Coturnix japonica: one gene and its partner. The protein of the gene in region 1 purifies or fractionates together with the protein of each later gene. This does not show direct contact. Links are inferred from orthologs where the notes say so. Each region holds a gene or a part of one and is shown in the gene's direction. Other genes may lie near its edges.

Region 1 (3,981 bases):
GACCGAGCCCCATAACGACTCCATAACAAGCCCATATCGAGCCCCATAAGGACCCCATAATGACCCCATAGTGACCCCATAAAAACCCCATACCGACCCTATAAAACCCCATAAAAACCCCATAGACCCATAAAGACCCCATAAAGACCCTATAAGGAGACTCATAATGAGACCCGTAACGAGCCCCATAAGGACCCCATAGCGAGCCCCATAGCGATACCCATACCGAGCTCCATAAGGGCCTCATACCTATCCCATAAGGACCCCATAGCGACCCCATAAGGACCCCATAAGACCCCATAATGACCCCATAAGAACCCCATAAGGACCCCATACCGACCCCATAACAACCCCATACCGAGCCCCATCAGCTCCATACCAATTCCCATACCGAGCCCATAATACGCCCCATACCGATCCCATACCGGCCCCATACTGAGCCCCATAAGGACCCCATACTGAGCCCCATAGGAGCCCCAGACCGACCCCATACGGACCCCCATAACGACCCCATAGCGAGCCCCATACCGAGCCACATACCGATCCCATAACGACCCAATACTGACCCCATAAGGACCCCATAATAAGCCCCATACCGATCCCATACCGATCCAATAAGGACCCCACACCGAGCCCTATAGCGAACCCATAGCGGCCCCATAGCGGCCCCATAGCGACCCCATAGCGGGCCCATAGCGAGCCCCATAGGGACCCCATAAGGACCCCATAAGGACCCCATAACCCCATAAGGACCCTATAAGCCCCATAAGGACCCTATACCGCCCCACTCTCCCCGCTCTCCCGTTTCTCACCCCTCAGCAGCTCGGTCCTGACGGTCCCCATCACATCGGCCACCCCCAGCTCCTGCCGCCCGCAGGTCCCGCCGTGGATCCGGAGCCAGGCGGGTTCGGCCAGCGCGGTGCAGAGCGCGGTGATGGACAGAGCCCCGGGCAGCGCCGACGCCAGGCTCCGCTCCGGTTGTTTGGGCAGCGCCCCCCCCCCGCCGCCTCCCGCCGTTCCCCGCCGCCTCCCCCTGCCGTGCAGCCCGGGCCCGGCCGGGTTGTACATGGCTGCGGCCCGAACAGCCGGCACCGCCTCAGGCCGCGGGCTCCGCTTCCGCTTCCGGCGAGCGCGGCGGTGACGTCACTAGGGCGGCAACATGGCGGCGCTTCCGCTTCCGGTGTGACGTCATTACGGTGCGACGCGATGAAGGAGGCGCTGGTGCTGCAGAGCCGCGTGGCGGCGCATCCCGAGGCGCGGTGCTGGTTCCTGGCGTGGAGCCCAAACGGGAACCTCATCGCGTCCTGCGGCGGGGACCGGGCCGTGAGAGTGTGGGGGCGGGACGGTACCGAGGGATAACGGGAACGAGGGGGATAACGGGGCGGAAGGAAGGGGCGGGGCCTCAAGGGTGGGGGCGGGGCTAAGAGAGGGCGCAGCCAATGGCTGACGAGTAGAGGCGGGGCTAAGGGAGGCCCCAGCCAATGGCTGATGAGTAGGGGCGGGGACAATGAATGGGGGCGGGGCTATGAGAGGGAGCGGCCAATGGGTGACGAGTAGGGGCGGGAACACGGTGAAAGGGGGCGGGGCTAAGAGGGTCGTGGGCGGGGCTTAAAGGAGGGGGCGGGGCTAAGAGAGGGCGCAGCCAATGGCTGACGAGTAGAGGCGGAGACATAGTGAATGTGGGCGGGGCCAGATGGTGGTGGGAGGGGCTTAAGGAAGGGGCGGGGCTAAGGGAGGGTGTGGCCAATAGGAGGCGGAGCCGAGAGGGTGGGGTAAAAAGGGCGGGGCCAGAGGAGCGTGGGAGGGGCTTAAAGGAGGGGGCGGGCTTAATGGCCCTAATACACGTGGGTGGGGTGGGGGCTGGGCTCCTATTGGGGTCCCCCATCCACCCCCCCCCTATTAGGGTCAGCTGGAGGCTTGCCGTGCTGTGCTGTCTGATGGCCACCAACGCACAGTGAGGAGAGTGGCCTGGTCGCCCTGTGGCTCCTATTTGGCCTCTGCCAGCTTCGACGCCACCACGTGCATCTGGAAGCGCTGCCAGGACGGCTTCGAGGTCAGACCCCCCCCACAGCCCCATAACACAGCCCCATAACCAGCCCATAACCCAGCCCATACCCAGCCCCACAACCACCCCATAACCAGCCCACCCCCACAACCAAGCCCACAACCCAGCCCACTAACCCAGCAACCCCCATAACCAGCCCCATAACCCAGCCCCATAACCCAGCCCCATAACCCAGCCCCATAACCCAGCCCCATAACCCAGCCCCATAACCCAGCCCCATAGTGGCGCCCTGCAGCTCCTTGTGCCCCCCACAGTGCGTCACCACATTGGAAGGACACGAAAACGAGGTGAAGTCGGTGGCCTGGGCGCCGTCGGGCAGCCTGCTGGCAACGTGCAGCCGGGACAAGAGCGTGTGGGTCTGGGAAGGTGAGGGGGGGAATGAGGGGACCCCAAGGGCATCGGCCCCACTGTGTCCCTGCTGTCCTCAATACTGCCCCTTCTGGCCCCATTGCTGCCCCTTCTGCCCCCTATACTGCCCCTTCTGGCCCCATTGTTGCCCCTTCTGCCCCCTATACTGCCCCTTCTGGCCCCATTGCTGCCCCTTCCATCCCCACTGTGTCCCTTCTGGCCCCATTGTTGCCCCTTCTGCCCCNCCCTTCTGCCCCCTATACTGCCCCTTCTGGCCCCATTGCTGCCCCTTCCATCCCCACTGTGTCCCTTCTGGCCCCATTGTTGCCCCTTCTGCCCCCTATACTGTCCCTTCTGGCCCCATTGCTGCCCCTTCTGCCCCCTATACTGTCCCTTCTGGCCCCATTGCTGCCCCTTCTGCCCCCTATACTGCCCCTTGTGGCCCCATTGCTGTCCCTTCTGCCCCCTATACTGCCCCTTCTGGCCCCATTGCTGCCCCTTCCATCCCCACTGTGTCCCTTCTGGCCCCATTGTTGCCCCTTCTGACCCCAATACTGTCCCTTCTGGCCCCATTCCCTCATGGAAGGTGTTTTTCCCCGCAGTGGATGAAGAGGAGGAATACGAGTGTGTCAGCGTCCTCAACTCTCACACTCAGGACGTCAAGCACGTGGTGTGGCATCCCAACCAGGAGGTGAGAGCCCAGCTCAAGGGCAGCGGGACCTGCGGGCATCACTGTGTGTGATGGGAAAGGATCTGAGCCACAGGGCCATAAGGAGTCAGTGCTCCCAAGAGATGGGGTTTGAATGGTCCTCTATGGGGGCAGGGCTTTGCAATCCCTGTGGGTTTGGGGTGTTGATCCCATTCCTGTCCCAGCTCCTGGCTTCAGCCAGCTACGACGACACGGTGAAGCTGTACCACGAGGAGGAGGACGACTGGGTTTGTTGTGCCACGTTGGAGGGTCACGAATCCACCGTGTGGAGCATCGCGTTCGATGGCAGCGGGCAGCGCCTGGCGTCCTGCAGCGACGACAAGACCGTGCGCATCTGGCAGTGCTACAAGCCGGGCAATGAGGAGGGTGAGCTCCTAACACAGCTCCTTGCTGGGACTTGGATCACTCAGTGCTGTGTTGGATCACTCAGTGCTGTGTTGGATCACTCAGTGCTGTGTGTTGGATCACTCAGTGTTGAATCACCAGTGCTGTACATTGGCCATCAACTCATGCTCGTGTTGGATCACTCATGCTGTTGTGTTGGTATCTATCTCAGTGCTGTGTTGTGATCCTATTCCAGGTGCCTGTGTGGTATCACTCATTTGCATGGCCCGTGTGTTGATATTCCACTCAGGTGCTGTGTTGATCCATTCAGTGCTGTGGTGTGTTGTATTCACTCAGTGCTGTGTTGGATCACTCAGTGCTGTGTGTTGGATCACTCAGTGCTGTGTTGGATCACTCAGTGCCTGTGTGTTGGAATCACTCAGCTGCTGTGCTTGGATCCTCAGTGCTGTGTGTTGATCCACTCAGTGCTGTGTGTTGGTTACAGCGTGCTCTCGGTGCTGTACTGATTGGATCA
Region 2 (3,936 bases), on another chromosome or scaffold:
GTGACTGGCTACACTGGAGCAGAAGTATTGTTTAACAGTACCCTAATCCTGTTTAGCTGCCCATCAGGGTACAGAGGTCCTCCTGACACATGAGCAGCCAGGTTTAAGAAGCATGACCAGCTTTAAGTTAACTGACGTCGGAAAAGCAGAGTTCAGCAGCGAGGCTCAGAACTCACACGTGCTCCTGGGAGCCCAGCCCAGCCTTGAAAGACTGCTTAGGAAAAAAACAGGTTGTTACAACATTGGATCTTTGGCCATTAGTTCCGTCTGTACCATGAAACTCACACTGTTCAGAGCATTTGGCATCCAGCTGCTTGTGTCAGCTGCTGTGCCACGTTCTCAGTTCCCAGGTCTTTCGTGTGAACAGGTTCTCCCAAAGCACACACCTTCTACAGCACCAGGAATGAAAGGGTGAGGTGCTGTGGGTATCCAGCAATGCTTTTACTCCATCCTGCCCTGACATGAGTACCGTCAGCGCTTGGACATCTCTATTACGCACTCAAGTGCAGCAAAAAATAGCTATAATTGTCAGGCACTCCTTACTTTGAGTACAAAGCAGCTTTGTATTTTAGAGCTTCAGGAAAATGGTCTCCTGTATGAGTCAGCTGCCTTCTAAAAAGCATGATGTGATTTCAGTAGCTTCCCCTTACAGTAAGGCCGACACCTTGCGATGTAACCAAGCAGTCTGACCTCCCTCTCTGCTCTGTGTATAGATAGACATGCATGGATGCATACACAGCCACCTACAGATGGTGATGTTACATGCAGACAAAATAGAGGAGAGGAAAATGCCTCAGGAGAGTTAGAGATCCAGGCTCATAAACTACCTCCATTTCTTATGTGACTGACCCTAAACCCCATTAAAGACCCCCAGCTTTTAAAGCACTTTCTCCCCACACCAGCACCTTGCTATTACCAGCAAGGGATGTGTTTAATGCATGGTAATGTCATGCCCCTTGCAGGCAGCGCTTAGTAAAGCAGGCTAGGGAAGCTTTAATCCCTTTGTGTCATGTGTGTGTCTTATGATAAGGATCTATCAAGCAAGGCTATCAATAAACCCAACGGAACGTCATTTTGCCTCTATCCTGAATATCACGACAGGGCGCCATATCACGACAGCAGTGTGGCTTTTACGACAGTGTCGCAACTCCTGCCCCTCCCGCTGGCTGCCGCGCTTGACGGCGGCGGCGCTGTCATGGCGTCTCCCTTCAGCGGGGTGCTGCAGCTGACCGACCTGGATGATTACATCGGACCCTCGCAGGTGGGTGTCCAGGGGGGCAAGAACCGCAGGGCCCGGCCTAGGAGAGCCATACTGGAAGGGAAACAGGGAGTAGGGGGGGGGAGGTGAGGAGACAGCACTGTGCGAGTCTAGCTGTGCAGATAGGGCAGTAAAAATGACATAAAATGCTAAAAAAGCCCTTGGGGCTCCATGGTAGAGCAGCACAAAAATCAGGCAACAGCTGTGCTGAGCCTGTCAGAGCCTTTCCGACATGACATGGAACCCCATTGGCAATAGCCGCCCGCTGGCTGTAGTGACCACGCCTCCATCCGTTCCAATTTGCAATGAGGGAATGCGAGATCGTCTGTGAGATCTAAGAGGGGATCAAGGCTCTGTGCTTGTCAAGGCTCCTTTTAACGCAGCTCTGTGATTCGGAAGGGACACAGTCTCCTCTGGCTTTGGTGTGATGCTGAAAAGGTGCTCGTTCTGTAAGAAAGGGGTAAGGTTCTAAGGACCATTTTCCCTTGGTGGATGTAGACACAGTCAGTAGATCTGGCATCATTTAAAGCAGAGTAATAGACATTCGCTCTATTGGGTTTGACCGTTCGAGTCTTGTCTCTTCACTTCTGAGCCTTATTTCTCTTTTAGGAATGTATCAAACCTGTAAAGGTGGAAAAAAAGCCTGGGAAAGCAGCAGCTAAGATCAGAATTGAAGCTGATGGGAGCTATGTTCAGATCACTCAGGTATGCCTGACCTTTCTTTATTGTTGTGTAAGATATCCAGACAATGCTGATGGTTAGTTATGTATTTAAATAAGGTGCCGCTATTTAAGGACCAGGATCTGGGAATGCTGATGACAACAGCAAAATATATTACAAAATCCTTTTTTCCTCACCTTTATTCTTCCTTGTCTGCTCTTGATAAGCCAGGAGGGTAAAGAGGACAATATCCTTATTACTAAACATAGTAAAGATGAGAAACTGCCACCCTACTCAATTCTGTGTTGTGACCAAAACTGAGTCTTATCTGTTTCTTCCCAGGATGGAGAAGCACAGAAACTGGAGAAGGCTAAAATTACTCTGAATGACTGTTTAGCTTGTAGTGGCTGCATTACATCAGCAGAGAGTGTTTTAATCACTCAGCAGAGCCATGAGGAGTTCTCCAAAACTCTAGCTTTTAACAAGGTAAGTGATGAGACAGGGGCGGGTCAGCTGCAGAGTTAGTAGATGTGAGTATTAGTACTGTCTGATCAGCTTTCTTTTGTTGCTGTTATTATTTTTAAAGGCTGCAGCTCCCAATGAACAGAAGCTGGTGGTGGTTTCTGTTTCACCACAATCCAGGGCTTCACTGGCTGCAAAATGTAAAATGAGCATTCTGGAAACAGCAAAGAAGTTGACTGCATTCTTAAAGAGTCAAGGCAAGTGCTGCATTGCGTCCTACCCATGACAGAGGGGACTGCTGGGCTATCCATCAGGCACAGCTTTTATGAGCACCTAAAGGTGATATGAATTAAGAAGTACAAACTTCAGTCACAAAATAAACCTGGAGTAATGGAGGAAAGGAGCTTTAAATTATCCGCATTCCTCCTATGACTTCTGCTCTTGTCCTGCTGTGCTAGAGAAAACAGTTCACTCTCAAATACAGATTGATAGCAGTAAATATGATGTGTAGCTTGCTGCTTGTATCTTCCTTGTGAATTCTAATGTGCATGTTGTACCACTTAGGTGTGCACTATGTATTTGATACAACTTTCTCAAGAAACTTCAGCCTGCTGGAGAGCCAAAAGGAGTTTGTAAAACGCTTCCGAAGGCAATCAGAAGACAAAAAGGCTTTGCCAATGCTAGCTTCTGCCTGTCCAGGTACATTACAAAGTTGGTTACAGAAATAAGATGCCATTCTAATAATACACCTATACAAGAACTCAAAAAGCTAGTCAGAAAAGTTCATATTAATTTGCTTAAAGTATTACTCTTCACAAAGAGAGCTTGGTGTTAATAGTGGTAATGGTCTGTAGAAATACCTACTCGCCTCTATAAATGGAATTGTTACACCTCTTTGCCTTTTGTGCTGAGGCTGAAAATGGTTATGAATGGGTGGTGAGCCTGAGGTTGTGGGCAGAGTGAAGGGGTGCTTGCTATTTATATGTATATATATATATATATATAACTATATATATATATATAGTTATATAGTTATATATAGTTATATAGTTATAGTTACTGATTGCAACTATTTGCTAATTATTCTCTCTTCAGGTTGGATCTGCTATGCAGAGAAAACCCATGGCAGTTTCATCATTCCTTACATCAGCACCACTAAGTCTCCACAGCAGATCATGGGCTCCTTGATAAAGGGCTATTTTGCAGAGCAGCAGGTAAGGTGCATCAAACACAAGCTGATACGTTTTCCTGTACTGTGTACATTAAGGATTGAAGATAATTGTTTTTATCTTGCAAATTGCCAGCAAAGGCATTGTCACTTCTGTGATACCTGTTAAGAAACTTGCAGCTGGGACAGCAGCACTAAGTTCACACTTTGTGGCTTGAAATCTCTATATATTATTCAGGAAGTCTAAGGAATCTGATTTGTCATTATTCTTGTGCTTATATCTCACTCGTCCTGTATGGTATTTTCCTGCTGATCAAGGCTGGTGAATAAGGTAAAATAAACTAACCCAGGACAAAACCTCAGTCAGTGCATACGTGCAGATCATGCC

Evidence for each region. The genes of interacting proteins can lie anywhere in the genome.
Region 2: the proteins of CIAO1 (region 1) and CIAO3 purify together in Homo sapiens (affinity purification with western blotting; 3 studies listed by BioGRID and IntAct, with this or other methods). This does not show direct contact. The link is inferred for Coturnix japonica from reciprocal best matches to the Homo sapiens genes CIAO1 and CIAO3.

Annotation. Positions count from the first base shown.
Region 1 is NC_029537.1:1,034,695-1,038,675, forward strand, and holds the start of CIAO1 (probable cytosolic iron-sulfur protein assembly protein CIAO1), read left to right. Parts: upstream 1-1,181; 5' UTR 1,182-1,206; coding exon 1,207-1,356; intron 1,357-1,903; coding exon 1,904-2,053; intron 2,054-2,319; coding exon 2,320-2,431; intron 2,432-3,015; coding exon 3,016-3,104; intron 3,105-3,286; coding exon 3,287-3,488; intron 3,489-3,981. Other genes in the region: TMEM127 (transmembrane protein 127), read right to left, coding at 813-1,068. UniProt on the Homo sapiens protein: Key component of the cytosolic iron-sulfur protein assembly (CIA) complex, a multiprotein complex that mediates the incorporation of iron-sulfur cluster into extramitochondrial Fe/S proteins.
Region 2 is NC_029529.1:5,995,824-5,999,759, forward strand, and holds the start of CIAO3 (cytosolic iron-sulfur assembly component 3), read left to right. Parts: upstream 1-1,136; 5' UTR 1,137-1,195; coding exon 1,196-1,261; intron 1,262-1,583; exon of another isoform or gene 1,584-1,685; coding exon of another isoform or gene 1,686-1,718; intron 1,719-1,867; coding exon 1,868-1,963; intron 1,964-2,260; coding exon 2,261-2,404; intron 2,405-2,504; coding exon 2,505-2,637; intron 2,638-2,944; coding exon 2,945-3,079; intron 3,080-3,475; coding exon 3,476-3,594; intron 3,595-3,936.